Rhinolophus ferrumequinum: one gene and its partner. The protein of the gene in region 1 interacts with the protein of each later gene in a biochemical or structural test. Links are inferred from orthologs where the notes say so. Each region holds a gene or a part of one and is shown in the gene's direction. Other genes may lie near its edges.

The links. The genes of interacting proteins can lie anywhere in the genome.
Region 2: of the proteins of MAPT (region 1) and CAMK2A, one has a biochemical effect on the other in vitro, tested with the Homo sapiens proteins (2 studies listed by BioGRID). The link is inferred for Rhinolophus ferrumequinum from reciprocal best matches to the Homo sapiens genes MAPT and CAMK2A.

Annotation. Positions count from the first base shown.
Region 1 is NC_046304.1:40,898,958-40,909,192, forward strand, and holds the start of MAPT (microtubule-associated protein tau), read left to right. Parts: upstream 1-6,078; 5' UTR 6,079-6,322; intron 6,323-6,326; exon of another isoform or gene 6,327-6,417; intron 6,418-7,095; exon of another isoform or gene 7,096-7,201; intron 7,202-10,235. UniProt on the Homo sapiens protein: Promotes microtubule assembly and stability, and might be involved in the establishment and maintenance of neuronal polarity.
Region 2 is NC_046307.1:22,513,233-22,523,575, reverse strand, and holds the start of CAMK2A (calcium/calmodulin-dependent protein kinase type II subunit alpha), read left to right. Parts: upstream 1-5,891; 5' UTR 5,892-6,104; coding exon 6,105-6,166; intron 6,167-10,343. UniProt on the Homo sapiens protein: Calcium/calmodulin-dependent protein kinase that functions autonomously after Ca(2+)/calmodulin-binding and autophosphorylation, and is involved in various processes, such as synaptic plasticity, neurotransmitter release and long-term potentiation.

The DNA of each region.
Region 1 (10,235 bases):
CAGAGTGTCTGGGCAAAGCCAAATATAAGGAGAGGATGACCTCATGGACCTATTATGCCTGCTCCTATTTCTGGGCCCAGGATCATCCTGGCCTTTCTGACAAGAATGCCGTGTTGCTGAGTCATGTGTAACCGAAACCCCGGTTGGCATTTCATCCTGCTTCTTGCCAGAACCCAGGGAATCTAGACAAGGGGGTTGGCATTGCCCTGGCAATGGAGGGAAGGAGAGGTAGGCAGGAGGCATTCAGGAAATATAAAGACAGAAAGGAACACTTGAGCCTAAAGAATAATTATGAAAGAGAAGTCTAGAGAAATTAAGGCATAGATCTGTCTTACTTTATATAATTAAGGTGTTTATAAACTTGCATGTAAATCAACTCACATTTCAGTTGTAACAGGGTAACTGACATTTAAGGAAACCTGGTGATGGTTCCTTTTGTCTAGCAAAGCATTTGTCTGTAATGTTAATACTCACTTCCTAATTTAATTGCATTATATTGGTATTTCTCTATGTTGGCTTTGAGAGAGGACAGTAGGTGTCTCATCAAAGCACCATACCTAGCCCACAATTAGGCAAAACAAATACATTTGGGGCTGTCTAAACAGGCTGGGAATCTGGATCTCTGACTTTGTAACTGAAAATAAAGAAATGTTGGTCTTCAAGGCTGTCATCTGTCTCACTAGAAAATGCCTTATCATGAAAAGTATTTTCAGGAAAATATTTCAAAGGGAAAGAATGTGCTGCTCGTGCATAGCTAGGAGGAACTGCTAAGGGAGATGGCTTCTTAGCATAATTGTGGCTAATACTCCACATCTCCTTCTCCCCCTGTATCTGGTATTTACAAGTAGCTGATCACAAGGCCCTCTGTAATAAAGACTACATTTCCCAGCCTCGGTGGCAACAATGTGTAGCCATGCACATATTCTGGCCAATAGGGTGTTAGCAAGAGTAACAAGTGTGATTTATAGGAATTGTCCTTAAAAGATAGAGATGCTCCCTTTTTTATCTCTTCCTTATTTCTGGGGATGTGTTGTCTGGAGCTGAAGCAGCCACTTTGGACTAATGAGACAGCAAGCGAAGGATGATACAGAAATGAAATAAACAGATATGGGCTCCAAGAAGGTCTTAGAGTTTCTAAAACAGCCCTTGACTCCTATTCCTGGAGAAATACAATTGAGTCTTGTTTAGACCACAGCTGCTTCGCATTTTTGTCACACAGAACTGAATATAAAACGAATTGACCCAGAATTAAGGAAATGCTCATTTCACCTCATTGTAACCTTTATTTCATTCAATTTAATGGACTTATTAAATCCTCACTACATAGAAAAAGAAGATAAAGGCTGTTAACCTGAGGGTCCAGAAACTTGGAGACAAAAAAGTTCACCTTTATTTTTATAACCTGTATTGGAATTTAGCATTTCAGTAATCAATGTAGTATTAACAGTATCTGTGACTTCATCACTAATAGATATTTTCTTTGCACGGTACATGTGTCAGAGATATTTCAAAATGTCATTTATACTTACCCCTATTTGAAATTGGGAAAGTAATTAAACCCACTGCTAGATTTTATTATTTAATGCATTCATGAAGATGCAGGCAAGGTTCTCTGGGAAGCAGATTCTGAGACAGAGTCCAGCATGCGAGATATTTAGGCAGTACCCTTGGGATCGATAGCTGTGGAAGGGAGAGGAAGGAAGCAGGATTGTGCAAAAGGAGAAGTCAAGCTGTGATACAGGCCCAACCAGCCTCAGCGAACCACCTGGGGATCTCAGAACCCAAAATGGACCATCAGAGTTGCCCCAGGTTGAACATTTATCTGCCCACCTGGGTCGGTCAGCCATTAGATATGGGGTTACCGTAGACATCTTCTTCCCTGAGGGGTCGGTGCCATAGTCACCATGTCCTTCTGTGGTAAGCAGAGTAATGCCCTGATCAAAGATGCTCATGTCCTGACCCTTGGAACATATGAATAAATTACCTTATATGGCAAAATGGATTTGAAGCTGTGATGAAATTAAGAATCTTGAAATGAGGAGATTATCCTGGATTATTTGGGTGGGCCCAGTATAATCACAAGGATTGTAAGTGAAACAGGGAGGCAGGAGTGTCCCAGTCAGAGAAGATGTGACAACAGAAGCAGAGGTTGGAGGGATGTGATTGCTGGCTGGGGACCACCCACCAAGGAACAGGGCAGCACCCAGAAGCTGGAAAAGCCAAGGAAACAGACTCTTCCTCTGCACCTCCAAGAGGACGGCAGTCCTGCCAACACCCCATGAGGTTTGCTTGATGAGACTCATTTTGGACTTCTGACTTCCAGAATTGGAAGGCAAGGAGTTTACTTTGTTTTAAGTCACTAAGTTTGGGGTCATTGTTACAACAACAACAGGAAACTAAAACACTTTCTCAGGCTAGGGTGGACGTTTCTGTCTTTTAACAAAAGGGAATACCAAGAGGTGCCCAAGTGACAAATGTATCCTCCCCGTGTTTTGGTAGCAGTCCTACTTCCTGCGGATGATTGAAGTCGGTTATTCCTGCCAGGACAGTACCTTCTGTTCTTGCCTGCTGCTCTCTGGACCCAAAGTGCTCAGGCAGCAGCCATCGCTTATAGTTCAGTGAAACCTTTGCTGTGTCCCCTGGTGGAAGCTTCCCCTTTGGGGGACCTCTATCCCTGCAGAGCCTACACTAGTGAGGATGGGAAGCTCAGATTCCCCCCTGGGGTCACCTGGGAATGTTGGGAAGTGGGACCACTTCAGCTTCCACTCCTTGGTTCCTAGATCCATGTATTCTTTTCCTGTTTGGACTTTTATAAATTCTATAGGTATCGGACTCTTAGTTCCAATCCTACCTGGGACACTGCTACATAAAAAAATGGGAGCCCAGAGAAGTTAATGAATTTGTCAAAGATCACACAGCACAGCTAAGATTGGGACCCAACTCTTTTGAAACCTAATCCAGTTCTCTTTCCCTGTGCGATTCTACCTTCTATGCTTCTTTGTGATGGGCCTTGCGTGCTGAATTGGCCAGATCTCTATTTCAGCAAGAGGGAGGGGCAGGGAGAAAGGGAGAGGATGCATTTTCTTGACCTAGAGAGCCATTAGCTACCTCCAGTGATTAAATTATCTGGAATGAACACTCAGCTCCACATTACATACAGTTAAATGATGGATCTGCTTAAGATGGTTTCTAGCATTCATTACCTCAATTGAATGTAGGCAAATGTGTTCATTCAGTATCAGGAGATCACTGTGTTATCGGGTCCCAGTCAGTTCTTAAAGGAAAGAAAACGAGAAAATTGAATGGGAGGAGTGTTAATTTGACTGCTACAGTTTATTTTACATATAGAAAGAATGTATAGCCAAAGCACTGATGGGGATGCTGAAATAACTGCTAGTTATCATTTAATGGATGTCCACTATTTGTCAGGTACTTTACATGAGAAACTTTACACACACATACTGTGTATAAAATATATATATATACATACAGTTTAATATATATATAATATATATAATGGGGATTAAACTGTAGTTTTGCTGTGATAACAAACATCCCTCAGAATCTCAGTGACTCACCCTGTAAATGTCTATTTCTTGCTCATGTTACTATACATGTTATATGTACTTCCTTGTGTCTGTTCATTCTGGGACCTATGCTGAAGGAGCAGCCCCACAGGGCATGCCATTCTGGTGGTGGAGGGGACCATCGCGGTGGTGCAGGGGACAAGTAAAAGTGGTAGAAACTCACAATGCCTCTTAAAGCTTTTCGTTGGACATGTCTACATCATGCCCCTTAGTTCTAGTTGCCACAGACCACCACGTGGCCAGACCAAATATGAGTGGTCTGGGAGTGGAGAGTGGGAGCAGTACAGATCACAGGGTAACAGGAAAGGACAGATAATCCCCATACAGGAAAAGGAGAAAGGACACAATTGGCAGCAATAATGAAGCTGCAGTCTTGCAAGACTGATATTAATTCCTCTCTCCCCTTCACTTCAGAGATGAGTAACTTTGCTAAGCCTTCCTAGAGGAGATATCCCTTCCAGCTGGGGTGATTACAAGGCTTTAGAACATTTGAGCGAGGGTTTGAAGGTTAAATAGGATATTTGGTGCATGGAGAAAGAGCAAGGACTTTGTAAGCAGAGGAAAACCCCCGAGTTGAGGTGGGGAAGAGTTCCAATCAAACAAGCTAAGTTGGTCATAGAGTAGATGAAAGAGAAAACTGGAGAGGACAGGGGCTCAGATGAGGGGGTGGGGAGGGACAGAGGGTTTGAATGCTGAGGAATTTAAGGCTAAGAAGTTTCACTTCACTTAGGGGTCAGTTAGAAGCCTTTAGATATTTTTGAGCAAGAGAGTGTCGTGATTAAAACGATTGCTTCTGAAGATTTGTCTGATTAGGGGGTTCAAGGTGGGCTGATACAGGGAGAAACAGAGAGCAGGGAGACCGGTAAGGTCACTACATGTCCAGTGCCAAGGTAAGAGTCTTTAACGAGGACCATGAGAGTTGGGACAACAAAAAGGTCACCAGAGATTCAGAACGAGTCGTTTAAGAAATGTGCCCCATCTCTAGCATCCACCCAGTGCTTCCCCGTCAATAAAAAATTTTTAATAGCCTGCTTTTTGTATTAATCTATAACAAAAAATATTGATTTAAAAAATATAAATGTAAGAGCCATGCAAATTAAAGCTTCAAAACAAGTTCCCATCTCCCTAGGACAAGATGCCCCCCACCAAACTCCCATACTTATAAAGCCTCCCACTGCCAGGGCTTACATTAGATGTTGGGGAGACCAAGCTAAGATCCGTTCAAGAACCAAATTCAATGGAGTAGATTTTAAAGATCTAATTGGCTTTCTTGAGCAATGCATACATCAGGCAGCATCCCATCCAGCCAAGTAGAAAGGAGCCCTGAGAAGTTGGTAGGTTTTTATAGGCTGGCAGTGGGCAGGACAAGAAAGTTATTACCAAAAGGAAAGAAAGGATCTTTTCAGCCAAGGGCACTTTTCTTTGAGGGAAGGGCGGAAAGGGTCTTATTAGGCAGATTACCTCTCACTAGTGTTGATCAGGAAATTCCAGACTGATTGGTGGTTTAAAATTCCACTCCTGGGAGAGGCTGAAACTGCAATGAGGTATTTATTAATAGTTTTCGTTTTGGTGAAGTGGCATAGCACAAGTGACTCCATTTTGGGCATGTCATCTCTTTCTTCACAGGCCAATGCTGGGAACTGGGTGACCAGGAGAATGAAAACTTCTGGTCAGTTTCAGTGTGTTATCTAGGTGAGAATCTCCATGAGCACTTAGCACTTCCGATCTCAAACTCTACTTACAGTATAACCGTGTGTCAAGAAACAAGATCAAAATAACTGTATGTGTGAAAATGCTTTGCAATGTGATTAGCGCCGCCATTTGGACCTTTGTCTAAGATTTTATTCTCGGACACCGTTAAAAAATAGATGGAAATGGTCCTTGTTAAAAAAAAAAAACACCACAACACTACTCTTACAACTGAATTAGCCTGTTTGATGAGGATTGGCGAAGGAAAGCATTCACCTTGATCAATAACAAAAAAGATGGAAAAAAAGCAGGTTGAAAGGAAGCAGGCCCAGGGAAACTGATCTCCAACAAGGGGGACCATTTCCGGAGACTCAAAGGAGGGTCAGGGTGCCCGGTAGCGATAAGCCGGCCAAACTTGGAGGACTGGGGTGGACCCTCTGGGGAGCGGTCATGTGGAAACCCGCCCAGGACGTTCTGAGATAGGACATCACTCCCGGGACAAAAAGGAAAAGGGCAGCAGATCTGGAAGCGGAGCACCGCAGCCTCTTCCAACCACAGTAGGAAACCAAGCCTCCCTCCCGAGGGAGAAGACCCTTCAGACCAGACAAAGGGTCCAGCCGCCAGAGGTGACCCAGAGCACGCGTGCGCCACGGAGCGCGCGTGCGCGTGGCAGTCCGTGCCGCGGCCCGAGTCGTGGGGGGAGGAAAGACAGGGAAGGGAAGCGCCGGGAGCAGCGAGCCAGGAGGCTGGGGACAGCGAGCCGTGAGGCGCTCGCGCGCGCCCACTAGTGGCCGGAGGAGAAGACGCCTGCGGAGGCCTCGCCGCCCGCCCCTCCTCAGGGAAGACTCGCGTTCCCGCTGCTCGCGCCTGCGCCGCCCGCCGGTCTCGGGAGCGCGCCCTCGCTGGTGCGCGCGCTCGCAGTCTCCGTCACCCACCAGCTCCGGCACCAGCAGCAGCACCGCCGCCACCGCCCACCTTCTGCCGCCGCCACCAGACACTTTATCCTCTGCTTTCCTCTTCTGCCCTCGCTCTCTGTCGACTATCAGGTAAGCGCGAGGCTCCGAAAGGTGCCTCCCCGTCCGCCTCCTGCGCCCCCATGTTGCCGCCCCTCGCCCCCTGCCTCAGAGATGGATTTCCTGAGGTGAGCATTGGTCGGGGGCAACGGCGGGGGCCCCTCCTTGCGCCCTCGGTGCTCCGGGGCTGGGCCTGGGGTGGCTTGGAAACGCACCCATGCAAGAGATGCACACACGCGTGTGAGTGTGTATGTGTGTGTGTGTGCGTGTGTGTGCTGGGGTTCCACAAGACCCGCTTCGCGCGGACCCGGGCAGAGGTGCCCGCAGGGTGGGGCGCGGGTGGCGGTGACCTGGGGGAGGGGGCTGCTATACACTCTCAATCGCCGCCTTTTGCCGCAATGGGCGTGTGTCTAAGTGTGTGTCCGGGGGCGTCCAATGACGACCCCCGAAATCGATCTGGAATCCGATTTCTCTGTCTCGGTTTGCCATCAGCCCTAAGGAAGGTATGGATTGGGTTCTAGAAAAGATGACTCCCTGCCTGCCCCTCCCTTCACCTCCTCGGCAGCAATTCCAATGGGGCTTTTCGCTGTCCCTGATTTAAGGCGGTGGCCCACCTCCCTCCCCGTTTTCCTCCTTCAGAAACCCGCAGGGGACATTTGGGGGCTGGGAGTGGAATCGGGGAGTTGGGGAGGGGTCCAGGCGCTGTCACTTTAGTTGCCCTTCCCCCTGCGCGCGCCTGGCACCGAGACGCGAGCAGCGCTGTGCCCGAGAGAAGGCAGTGCGCGGAGAGATGTGGAGGCTCGAAAGACAGGGGTCACCTGGCCTTGCTCTGTGGAGGGACTCGGCCCCGCGGATCCTGCCTCGCGGGCGCTCACAGCCCCAGCCCCTCACAGATCGGCACAGAGGCTGCAGGTGCACTTCGGGGCGGTCCCCTTTCTCTGCGCTCTGCGCCCGGCGTCCGGCGTGTGCGCTCCCTGCCGGAGGCGCGGGGCTGGCGCGCAGGGCTCGCCCCTCACTGCGGCAGTGGGTGTGGACCCGGGTGGGCGAGGAGGGGGAGGGTAGGCTGTGCCTCCTCCCACTCCCACCCCCGCTTTTTTTCCCCCTCCGATCGCGAGGTGCCATCTTTTTGCGGCGTGCCATGTCTTTACGGTACCACACCAAGCCGGGTGGCCGGGCTTCGAAGGGCAAGGCGGGGACTGTCATTAAGGGTGGGTGGAGGGTGCATTCAGCGCTGAAATCGTGGCGTTTTGCTGCTGAGGGCTTGAGCTTTGGGGGCGTTCCCTCGAGATTTTCCTGGTGGCTCGCTGCTTTGTTTGTAGGGCTAACGTGATCAGCGTTGCCAGCCTGGGTTTTTGCCTTTTATTTTATAAGGGTGTTTAACCAAGGCCCCCCCCGCCCCTTCTCCCGTGTTTCGCCCCTCATTTCTGAGCCCTTTGTTAGATTTCGGGGCTTGCTGGAGTCGATGAACTCGAGTCACGGCCTCGGAGGTACGCGTGGAACCGGCTTGACCCTGCCCGGCCCACTATCAGAGCCAGGCCGCCCGCCAGGAAGCATCCGCGGGGCCGCAGGGGTGGGATTCCGGGTCTCCTTGCGCTGTGCGGGTGTCAGCGGAGGGACAACGCCCCTCCCCATGCCCCGAGTGTCCTGGGTCCCATACCCCACCAGGCTGCCCCCGGAGGGGCACCCGAGGGGGCGGTAGGAGGGGGCACGCAAGCGGGATCCCCTCCCCGCTTCACTCCCTGTTGCCTGGCCAGGCGGGAGAAAGTGAGGAGGGGGCAAGAGGTTTCCCCGGTTGCTGCGGGCCACACCCATTTTTCCGGAGCCGACTGGGAGGGGGTCGTTAGGGGAGGTGTTGCCTTGGAAACAACACGCGTCTTGAGAACAGCCTTTGGGGCGTTGCCCCGCCCCTTCCGATCGGAGAATTAGAACTCCCGGGTACCAAGAGCCGTGCCCCCTCTGGGGGCTCCGTAGGGAAACCCACAAACTGGAGCCGTTGGCTCTTCCTAATTGGCTTCCCGCGGCCATCGGCTCCCAGACAGGCGTCCCTGGTGTATTATTATTCTTGTGGCCGAATATCACTTATCACTTAGGAACCCGAATTCACTGCGGCCCTTGGAAAAGGGAACGAGGGGAGAGGAGTGGGGTACCGACCCCTGGCGAACAAGGCCGAGCCTTGCCCTTCTGTAACGGCCCGGGTCCGCGCGTCTTTCTGGTTAATTACATCGCTGAAAACTGGCGCGAGGGCGCTGTTCTGAGAGGGACGAGCATTTTAGGGGCCGAATCATCCACGCAAGCCGCGCAGATTGATCTGAATATCCGGGGAATGGCTCGGCTCGGAGTCGAGAGTCTTCCCCCGGGCCTGGCCAAACCTTCCCGGCTGTGGCTGTCAGGTCAGAGCCGCGGCTCTGCTCTCCCCTCCCTTCCCGCCCCACTCCCCGCCTCCGCAGAGCTGGGCTCGCCACCGGCAGGTTGCTGGACAGGCTCAAGGGTCGATTCCAGCATCTTTTCCCCTCTAGCCACCCTCCTCCCGAGCTGAACATGGGATTCTGGTTCCAGACAGAGTGAGGGGCGAGGGGCGGCCATGGAACTGGGAGCCCGCGGCCTGGGGCAGACCACAGGCGGGTGTCACCTCCTGTCGCTTGGGGGAAAGGGAACCCGGCGGGGGCGAGCGCATTTAGCCCAATACCTGGAACAAAGCGCCGTGCACGCGTTTGCGATTTCGCTCCATTTTGGGATCTGTAGGTGGCTTGGTGGAGTTCTCGGGTTTGCAAGGTCTGGGGGCTGTGAATGGAGGAATCCCGGCGGCCAGAGAATGGTCCTTCATACCCGATCAGGAAACTCCATCCCTGGCTCTGCGCGCGCTGTAACTAAACGACAACCCCCCAAGATGTGGAGGGATGCAGCGTCTGTGCACACGCTCCGACTGTGGAGCGCTGAGCCAGCCGGAAACGTCCTGTCTCGGAATCCCCAGCAGGTCGGGGCACTTTTACATCCCGGGAGACCCCACTTGGCCTTCGGCGCACAGGAACCTCTAACTCCAAGCCCGGGTCTTGGGCTGGTGCGAGTTGGGATGGAGGACGGCACCTGAGACAGCGACTGCCAGGCCTACGTGCGCGCTCAGGCTCAGCAGGAGGGCTTTGAATTTTTATCAGATCCCTTTCCCTCCATGTGACCCGTCCTCCGAAAGAACGAGAAATGCCTTTCCTGTCATAATTAATTAAGGGATTATTTTTCGTTTTGTGATGCTGCTTATGTTTACCACATAAGAATTGTTAATCCGTTTTCCCCTCTCCAAACCCTTCCTCTGAACGAATAAATATTAATAAAATAAACGTCCCTCCCGGTGCCCAGTCCAGAGTGAATATTGAAGCTAATCAATTCCTTGACAGACATTTATTTGCTTCTGGTTGGTTTTCTGCAATGACCTGGCTTGACTCTTTGGGATTCGCCTTTGGACAATTTGGGGGAGAGGTTTGTTGGCTTTGCTGTTTTTTGGATGAGTGACAGTCCATGACTGTGTGTCCATCCCTAACTCCAACCGGACTTGGTCTGCACACACCCATCATAGAACGGTGTGGCTTTTACGTGGTTTCTAGTATCAGGCACCGCTCCTGACAGGAACAAAAGAAATGGATTATTCCCACAAATTGCAAGAGGAAAACGTAGAATTGGTTTCCTAGAGGAAGGGTCAGATTTATTCCATGTGGAAAAGAGTTCCGTTTATTGAACATGCCCTTTGGCCCACATGCCCTTTGAGGTCAGTGCCAACCTGGAGATATAACAGGATTGTGGTGCCTTTCGTTTAGGTTGAATTTTCCTTCTGCCCTTTTAATGAACTTCATGAAGGTCATGAAGCCCATTTGTTGAAAATTTTAAGAAATTGTGTTCCTTCAGCATTTGTGTGTATGGTTTGAGTTGCTCCGTAGCTGTGTGTATGAACAGGTGT
Region 2 (10,343 bases), on another chromosome or scaffold:
GCAGGACGGGTGGGGCGGGGTGGGCTGGGGTGGGGTGCGGTGCAGTGGAGGGGGTTCAGGTATTAGTTACAGAGCTGCGTCCCCCCTGCAGAGGTGGCTCAGCCCAGGAGTTAGTGTCTGGCCTGGGGCTGCAGGGCAGAGGTGACTGTCCATGTCCTGGAGCCCTTGCTCCCAGCCCTGTTCTCCACCTCTACAGCTGCCCCGCAACTAGAACCTTTGTCTTTCTCCAGGAAGTTGCTGCTGGGGCCGTGGTGGGCAGAGGGCAGGACTGGCTGAGGCCTCTGGATTCAGCCAGCCCTCGTGCTGGCTTAGGAGGGAGACTCGGAAGAAGTCACCCACTGGGATGGTGTCCCAGGCGCAGGATACTCCAGAAAGGGGTTGTCTGCAGTCTCCCCTTTACCCAGGATTCTCTAGCTCTGCCGGGGGGCTTGTCCCAACTGTGTGGGCTGTGCCCTCCCAGAGTGGCGGGGCTCCCCTGCAGCTCCAGGCTTGCGTCAGTTGAGTGGAGTCCTTGCCTGTACCTGCTGAGTAGGCCCTGCCCCAGATGACCCAGCCTCCAGCTCCAGGCCTGTTTCTCTTCTTGTGCCCCGGACTTTTGGGGCCACAAGTGCAGGACCATAGAAAGCCCTTTCTATTCTCCCCCAGGCACCAAGACCCACTCCCTGTGGCCTACCTGGCCTCAAACCTGGAGAGGTGGTGGGCTCCTGCTCCTGTTTCTGAGAAAGGTTCAGTCTAATCTCCAGCCCAGCCTAGAGCTTGCCTGGCTGAGTCCCACCTAAGCCAGAGCCCAGCAAACAGCCCAGGAGCCCCATTCAAGCTTCAGCCTGAGACCTGATCCACAGCCCAGCAGCCCAAGCCTGCCTAACCGGGGCCCTGGCAGCTGGCCTGGTTGAGTGACCAGGACTACGGGCATTGTGGTGAAAGGCTCAGCCCACTTGCTGTGGCTTCTACTCCGTCCAGCAGTCAGCATGGCACCTGCCATCCCTACCTGCCTCTCGTTCCCCCAAGTCAGGGCACCTGGGTCTGTACTCTGTGTCAGGCCCCTGACTGGCTTCATCAGGCAGATGCTTATACCACCTGTAGAGGGGAAGGATGCAAGGGAGGGGCGACCAGAGGCAGCTGGGGCCCCTTGGGTCACAGATCTGGGGGACTGGAGCCCAGAGATGCCAAATAAGCCCCTTGTTTCTCCCTTGGCTGGACCAGATCTGCCAGCCTGATGGGTTTGAGCCGGGGGTGGCCCTGTTTGAGCTGGGCTCTGCCTATGGAATCCGGGGCAGGGATGACCAGTACCCTAGGAGCCAGGAGAGAGCCCCAGACATGGCTGGAGAGGTAGAGCTCTGAGCCCCACCCTGGGCGTTGGCCCCATTTCCTCCTCTCACTCAGTGCTTACTGGCTACCTTGGGACCTAGGGAAGCAGTCCTGCGGTGTCAGAAAGAGGGAGGGCAGAGCAGGGGAAGAGGAGCACTATTCTGGGAGTTAGGGTTCTGAATTGTCCTGATCTGTCCCTGAACTTGTGTGACTGCAGAAAGGCAGCTTCCTCTCTCCCTGGGCCTTGGTCCCCCATCTGTAGGGCACATGGGCTCCCTCAGGGTCCGTCTAGCTCTAGTGGAGGCCAAAGAATCCAGGGCAGTGTGCTGAAGTCACACAGATCCCAGATGGATAAGTCACGTCATGTCTCTGCAAAACGGGCAATGATCATATATGTCTCACAGACGTTCCTTGTGAAGTATAAATAGTGCAGTAAGTGCTTAGCACAGGGCCTGGCTTGAAAGTGGAAATAAGTATTTTTCCTGTTCTTGGAGTCCATGAAGGAACATCTTGTCCCCATATTTCTTAGGAGGAAGTAGAGACCCCAATGGGGAAAAGATGTGCCATGGGCACTCACAGCCAATGGCAGGACTTGATCTTGGGTCCTCTGACCGTCGGTTGTGCTGTGCAGACGCTGCTATAGTAGCCGTTGTCCTCTGCCTCTTGGCTCCCTGCTTCCCTCTTCCTTGCAATGATTGCCTCCTACGTGGGATGCCTCAGGGGACAGTGCTGCTCCCTGACCCCTGACTTCTCTGCCTTCTGAGTACAAGTCTAGCATTATTTACTGCAATGAATTAATCAAATCACACTCTGCCCAGACCCTCTGCAGGATCATTTCTCTCTTGGCCCACTTTCCACCGATTCTGCCCCTTATGCTCACTGCCCTTAGTGGGACAGGCCTCGCGGGGACCCTTTGGATGTCACGTTTTCTGTGGTGCCTGCCCAGGCCCTGCAGGACCCTGAGGCACTCGAGCATGTGCACGTGAACATGTGTATGGGCCGGGGAAGGAGGGATTTGAGTTGGCTGTCACAATGCTACTAAGGCTCTGATCTCCTCCCAGCCCCCTCCACCGTGGCCCCGGTCCCCATTTGTCCCTCCCCATCCTCATGGCTTACACCCGGTATTCACTTTCATGTTCCCTATCCTAGAGTGTCAGAGCTGTGCTCAGCGACCTGGAGGGCTCCCACCCCTGGCCACCAGCCCGTGGCATGTAGGTCTGCTCTTGAGTACCGCACGCATGTTGCAGATGGGGGCACACGTGCTGGCTCGCCTGCCTGCGGAGTGGCCCTGGGGAGGAGAGAGTTTGGCAGGAACAGTCCTCCTGATGCAAGCATCGGCTCATTCTCTCAGAGCCATGGAGGCAGGGCCGGCTCCTCGCTGCCCGCTACCACTGGGCACAGCTGCCAGCCTTTCAGGCACAAGAGGAGGCAGTGAATTAACAGTGCCTCCTTGGCAGGGTGGCAGTTACACTCAGAATGGGGGTGCGGTCCAAGGCAGTGCCCACACCCCTGCACTAAGCTCTTGAAGGTTTGGAGGGGTGTGTGTGTGTGTGTGTGTGTGTGTGTGGAGAGTTGCCGAGGAGACCTGTTCCTTCCTGGTCTCCCTTCTCTCCCTCCCTCCATCGCTCCTCTCCAGCCATCTCTCCACCATCAGGATCCTGCGGCCTGGGTCCTGTGCGTCCGCCAGGACCAAATGCACAGGGTATGGGCCAGCACTGGGAGGAAAAGAAGAGTGACAGAAGAAGGGAGGCAGAAACAAGACAGGAGGTGAAACGGAACGGGAAGGATAGGGAGCACCGAGGAGGAAGGGCTCAAGGGAAGGAAGGAAGAAAATGGGGGAAAGGTGAGATAAAGAAAAAAGGAGAGCTGAAACGAGAGATGGAAGTAGGGAAGAACGGATGGACAAGGGAACAGCAGTGAAGGGTGGAGTGGGGCTGGGCTGGCCCTGCACCCTGAAGCCACATAGGTCAACTCCATGGTCGCTGTCACAGGCAGGGAGAAAGCTGGCCATCGAGGCCTCGGTCCCTTTATATCCTCCTCTGAGTCATCGCTGGCTCTTCCCGTGATGATGGAGGTACCTCCCCCATGTGCTCTGCTCTCTTCCTAACATGCCCCATTTCATGGGAGGTGAAGGGGAGGAAACAGGGTGGTGAGGCCAGCACCCAGCCAAGTAGCACTATGACCTCCTTTTTTCAGAACATTATAGTCCCATTAATATAGCCTCAGGCCTTGTGACCTTGTGACCTCTTGCCTCAGTCCTTTGTTCTATAGGAATTGCTGCAAACCAGGCTTGGACAAGGTGATGTTCCAATCCTGAGCTCCACTCCAGTGGGGACTCAGAGAACGACACCTCAAAGTGCTGGGACTTGAAGATGGTGTGTGCTTCCATGGTGCAGAGAGCAGTGTGAAGGGGGAGGGCCGTTTGAGTCCCGTGGTACTGATGATTTCCTACCTCCTTTGCAGATGAAGAAACAGAGGCACAGAGAATTTAGGGTACTCATTCAAAATCGCACAGCCTGTAGGCTGTGGAGTCTCTCTAACCACTGCTCAACACTGCCTCCCCTCTCTCCCGGGCAATGACTGGGTGGCTTCAGGGGTCATTAAGGGCTGTTCCAGAACTTTCATGTTGGAAGCCATCCCCTCCTGGGGATGGGCTAGAGGGTCTGGGGGCAGGAGCTGGTGGTACAGCCCTTCCCCCACTTCTCCACTTTACGCCTCTAGCCTCTACATGTTCCTTGTTTTGCCTGCTGCCCACTGGCTGTGCGCCCCAAGCACAGGCCTCTCTTCTTTGCCTCTGAATTGCAACGTTGGCGGCAGAAGCGGGAAGCATATTGTGCGCAGAGGAAAAAAAAACAAAACTGAGTGGTTTTTCCTTTTACTGAAGGTGGTAATGGTGCAATTAGTGGCTAAGCCATTACCCTTCCTCCCTTGTTCGCCTCCCCACCCTTCCCTTCTGCCCTCCTCACGTTTCTCTCCTGGGAAGAAATGGCTGCCTCGGAGAGCCAACCTCATTATTCCCACCCCTGGCTCCCAGGAAGAAGGGCAGAATTCAGGGGAGGGGGTATTCAATGTCTCCAGGCACCTGCTGGGTTTGGGGCTTACCAACAAGCAGACACCGTGTCCAGCAAGGGAAGTGACCAGGAAGGCAATTTGGAGGTTCAGAGGAGGTGGGCTAGGAACCCAGAGGGTTTGGATCCCGTTATTTGACCTGTGCTCATTGTGGGCAAATGCTGGCATGAGACCTCAGCCTGGTGGGCTGTGAAGTGCCCTTGAGTGGAGGAGGAGGGTGTGAAGGGTCTGAGATTCTAAGTCCAAGTTGGAGGGATGCAGGCGGCCATGGTCCTGCTTTAGACAGTCCCCTTTCCTCTTTTAGAGACTAAAAGGAGGCCTCCACAGTCATTAATCCACTCCATCTTCACAGCCTTCCTCTGCAGTCGCAGCTTTGTTCTCTTATGTAGAAAAGGAGCTGGGAGCTCAGAGAGGGGCAGTGACTTACCCAGGGTCACACAGCTAATAAGTGTTGGATGTGGAATTGAACTCAGGTCCTTAAACTCCAGTCTCCTTCTTCCTTAACCCCCCAGGACTCGGGGTAAGATTTTGGGGCCACAGATATGGCTATTGCCCTGAAGAGCTTAAGTCGGCTGGGAAAGTAACCACACAATTTGGGAATGAGGATTTCAGGAGAGCTCCATGGCCACGCCCCTCCATGCCAGGCCATGCTCCCCTCCCCACTGCCTCCTCCACCTCTTTCACCTTGACTTGAAGCACAAGCAGAATCTGGGACATGAGCCCCAGGAGACTGGATCTCCATGGTCCCTCTGGGGGCATGGCATGGGGGAGAGGTTATGGAAGAGGCCTCAGGAGGGGATCAACTGTTACAGCTGTGAGGGGTGAGGGTGAGCGGGTAGCCAGGGCTGTTCCCTCCAGAATCCTAGTGTCTCCTCTCCTCTGCACTTCCTCCCCAAGTTAGAGTGCCAGTGTGATGGCCAAGGTGTCAAAGTGCAGAGAGAGCAAGAGTGAAATGAGAAAGACAGGCAGAGGAAAAAAAATAAATGCAGAGGGAAGCAGAGAGACAGTTACAGAGACTATGGTGATCCAGAGAGAGATCCCAAAGAATTAGCCACCGTTTCCCTGTAAACCTTAGAATCCGGCTGTTGCCAAGACAACGGGGCAATACCTGTCTCTCCAGAGATGAAGTTGCCAGGGTAACTGCATCCTGTCTTTCCTGGGGACCATCCCGGACTGTGGCATCCACTGTTACCATGGCAACTGCCTTTTTGCCCCACTTAATCCCATCCTGTCTGCTATGAAGGCCCCACAGTTGGAGGTGGGGGAGGTGGGAACAGAGATCACTTGTGCACTAAGTTTGTTCTCCTCCCCCTGCTACAGCCCCTCCCCCGGTCCCTCACCTCGGGGGTGGGGGTGGGGGTGCTGGGTCCACCTGCCTCTGGGCCCACACTGGCCTGCAGTATTGTGTGCGGTTGGGCCAGGGCGTCCTGGAGCAGGTTTCATACTGGAAGGCAGGCAGGTGTTGGGGAGGCAGTTACCGGGGCAACGGGAACAGGGCGTTTCGGAGGTGGTTGCCATGGGGACCTGGATGCTGACGAAGGCTCGCGAGGCTGTGAGCAGCCACAGTGCCCTGCTCAGAAGCCTGGGGCTCGTCAGTCAAGCCGGTTCTAGGTTCTCACTCGGAAGCACGGGCAGGCAGGCGAGTGGCCCCTAGTTCCGGGAGCAGAACAGCAGTACCCCAGCCCTGGTCCTCCACCCCAAGCCTCGCCTGCCCGCCCAGCGCCAGGATGGCTACCATCACCTGCACTCGCTTCACGGAAGAGTACCAGCTCTTCGAGGAACTGGGAAAGTGAGTTGCACCCCAGAGTCCTGGAGGGCACAGGGGATTGGTGCCACGGGCAGGGATGTACACATGCGGTGCTTCCTGTGCTCAAACAGGGAGGAAGGCTGCATGTGTTTGGGAGCACTTGTATGTGCAGAGTGCCCAGAGGGAGCCATGGGCATATTTCCGGGTACACAGATGTGCCAAGGCCAGCTGGACGAATGTGTGTGTAGGGGTGAAGGGTTGATGGTGCATGCCAGGGAGTGCACACACACACACACACACACACACACACATACGCACACGACCTGGGCAAACACAGATTCTTAGAAACTCAGGGTTAGAAAGGGATTTTCCTGTTAGCTGCATCCAAGGCTGGAACCCCCTGTCGAGCTTCTCATGAGGTGGCCATCTGGCCTCAACTTGGATACCTGTGGTGACAGAGAGTTTACCACCTCAGGTAGTCCTTCATGACTTTAGAGACCTGCAGCGACTCTGCAGAGTGGCCAACTTCTCCCTGTGAGCACATCCTTTCCCCACTTTCCCCCTCCCAGCTCCTCTAGAAGTGAGGGCATTGGTACTGCAGGGGTTAATAACTGAGTGACTGGTGAGGCTTTCTGGGTGTTGGGAGGAGGGGAAGAGCAATCAGACAAGTTGGGGGGAGCACTGCTGTTGCAGGGGTTAGTGGTGTGATGGTACCCCAGCTCTGGGCCCTTGGCAAAGTTGTCCAGCCCCAAAGCTCATTTTCTGCCTTTCATGACTGGTGTGGAGAGATGGGTGGGAGGATGGAGGGAGAGGAGAGCCCCTTGGGATAGTCCAGCAGGCTGTGGAGTGTCAGAAGCATTGCTGGATGCCTCCGGCAGGGTTTGTGGAGGATCTGGGGATGGATCCAGGGGAAAGGTGCAGCTTGGAGGCAGAGTTTGCCCTGTGGGCAAAGCAGCTCCAATGTCTGGGTGGTTCTTGCTGTAGCAGCAGGAGTGCAGGGGAAAGGGGCCCTGTAAGTAGGGGTGTGCTGGTGTGAGATCTGGACATACGCAAGTGTGCATTTGATGTGTGTTGTATAAGGACTGTCTCTGGGGTACACTTGTGTGTGCTGACAGGGTGTGCATGTGTGTGCACCAAGAGGGTGTGCTGGTGTGTGCTTCATGTGTAAGGCCTGAGAATGCAAGTGTGCCCTGCAAGGGGGGGGTGTTGTATGCAAGGGGCACAAGGGCCGCTGTTGGCTGGTTTGCACGCGAGTGAAGGTGTGAACATGCGTCACTGTGTGCCCACGTATGGCAGGTCAGAGCTGTGTGTCCATCAGCAGGCTGACGTGGGTGAGGTGTGGGCATGTGCAGACATGTCTGTGTAAGGATGCACATCTGGGACGTGGGCACAGTGCTGCTCCTATGAGGTCACAGACATGCACATCTGGGTGAGGACTCAGGGCCGTGCACACGGGAAGTGTTATGTGCGTACGCGTGAGGCCTGGGCCCACAGGCTTGGGTGGGAGTGTGGGTGTTGTAGGCATGTGTGAGCTCAGGCTGGTGTCTGCATATGTGTGGGAGGTGGGCCTGTGGCTGTATGGAAGCAGGCTGCCTGCACACACACACACACACACACACACACACACACACACACACTTGCACACCAGGCAATCCGACACCTACAGGCCAGCTCCCTCGTTCCCTCATACAGACACACACCCAGGTGCAGCCGATGTGTGCTCACTCTGGTCTGCAGATTTCTTTCTGAGCGTGTTTTTGTGCTGGGGGTAGGGGGAGCAGGGAGAAAATGTGGAGGGACGCTCTGGAGGACCGAGGCTGTCCATCAGACATGTACAGGGACCCCCTTCTCAGCTGGTTTCCTGTGCCCACTGGAGCCCCAAGGATTCCCTGATGAGCTGGGAGCTGCCTTTCAAGGTGCAATCCAGGCTGGGTTCTGGGAGGGATGCGTCACAGAGTGCAGTGGAATGGAGTTGAGATGTGACTCAGGTGCTCAAAGTGAAAAGGAAAGTGATGTTTTGCCCCAAGAGGAGACGGGGATCCTGAAGGCTGGGTGCTGTGGGGGTGATTTGGCAGAGCGCTTCCTCAGCCCCACTACCTGCCAGGGTCCTTGGAGGGACAGGGGCCACAGCAGCACTTCAGGAGACAGGGAGTCCTGGTATGGCCATGGCAGGAAAACCGCAGGTGGCAGGCATGGCCAGACCTGTCTGATCAATTTCAGACCTCTTCCTTCCAGAACCATCTGTGCTTTTAACCTTTTTTAGGTCACATATTCCTCCAGGAATCTGATGAAAGGCTAAGTCTACATTCCTCAGGAAAATGCGCAAAACTACAAAATGCTGCATGCGATGTCAGGACATCAGGAAGGCTGTGGGTGGGCCTCAGGTTAAGGATGCTTGTATTGGAATAAAGGGGACGAGGCTCCACACCTCTGATGCCTGGGTCAAAAGGCCAGGGTACCACTGAGGAGGGGGGTGTCGCCTGCTCTGCACAGCAGCTTCAGTCCAAGTGCCCAGTGGGGCAGGTATGGGCAGTACTCGGAAGAGGGCACAGGCTCTAGACTTTACCACCCATAGCTCTGTGACATTGGGAAGGCTATGGCACCTCTCTCCCAACCCCCCGTCATCTGCAGATAAAAAAGGGCTGTGGGAATGAGATGAGATGGAGCCCGGGAAGATGTGGTAACAAACCTGCCACACAGCTTTTGAGAAAGGATCGCTTCCCAGGGCTGGACTTTGCCTGGCTTGGGAGAGGGGCTGACCAAACCCTGCCTCCCCTGGGCTGGCAGGGAGGCAACAGCTCTTCTTCTGTCTGGAGAAGCACCAAAGATACCTGCAGGGCCCAGCCTTCAACTGGTGACCACGGTCCCTGCAAGCCAGGACATTGCAGTCACCACACAGAAGCTGAGCCCCCGTTCCAAAAGCCCACTTCAGATGACTGGCAGGGTGATTGGCAGAGGCAGCTGGGTGGGCTCTACAAGAAGACATGGGAGCCTTGGCCCTCCTTCTGCAGGGCCCTGGACGGCCCAGCTGGACGGGAGGGCACGTGTCTCTCGAGGGCTTCCTGGAGCTCAGCCCTGTGAGGCCTGGCTTGTGACTGCAGCCTTTGCTTCGAGTAGCCCGGGGGGAGGGCTGGCTCTGGATGTAAGAGAAGCTGCCTCTCTCCTGCCTGGTGGGCAGCCATTTGGGGGTGTGTGGGCTGGAGTCAGAGCCCTGGGCAGGGGCTTCTGAGGCCTCTTGATACTACGGGAGGAAGGTCCCACTGCAGCATCTGATTCAGATCAGCTAGGACTTGATTCCAGGTCCCCTAGAGGGTTGAGGTGGGGCTGTCACTTAGGTCTCAGAGCGTAACTCACTCTTTCCTCCCTTGACCCCAATCCTCTTTCCTCCCAGGGGATGAGAGAAATGAAAACCCAGCCCTTAGGAGCAGAGAAGCTTGTTGGGAGGCAGGCTGCAGCAAAGATACCAGCTCAGTGTCAGAGTGGGCCTGGGCAGCTGGACCAGAGCTCTTGGCAGATGGGTTTTCTCTAAAGAAGACCAGCCTCAGGGAAAGGGGTCAGGTTCCAGGAGGTGGAGAAGGACAATGCCTCCTCCAGCCGCTGACATTCTCTGGGCTTTGGATCCCACTCCCAGGAGAGGTTAGGGAGGCCGAGAATTGCCCTGCAGCCTGTGTAATCACCAGGCTGTACAGAAAGGGCCTCTGAAGGAGAATATTACTTGAGAGAAGGAGACGGAGGGAGGGAGGGGAGGAGGGCGACTGGAGAGCTAGCGCAACCCATTCTTTTCTCTCTAGAAACAGGTCTGAAATTGACTCAAGGGTGGTGTTGGGACTGGGGGAGGGATTTCAGGGGAGAGGGAGAGCAGAGAGCTGGCTTCTAACCTCTGCGGCTTTGTATTGTGAACTGGGCTTGGGCTGGGCTGATCGGGGGACAACCATGGGGCCCAGAGGCAGCACCCTGCCCTGGGGGTGTCCAGGGTCCTGGGTGCTTAGGTTCCCTCTGGAGACAAAAACTCTAATATCTGAAAAATATGTTTAGCAACATGGCCCTTCCCTGGCCGAGCTATTAGGAGGATTGATGTTGTAACACTGGAGAGAGAAGGCACCTGGGCATCAAAGACGGGTATTGTACTTTTATTTTGCTTCTCATAACCTCTCACATTCATAGCACTTTGGGGCCGGCAAGGCCCTTCTCCATCCATGAGCTCATCCCTGAGCATGGC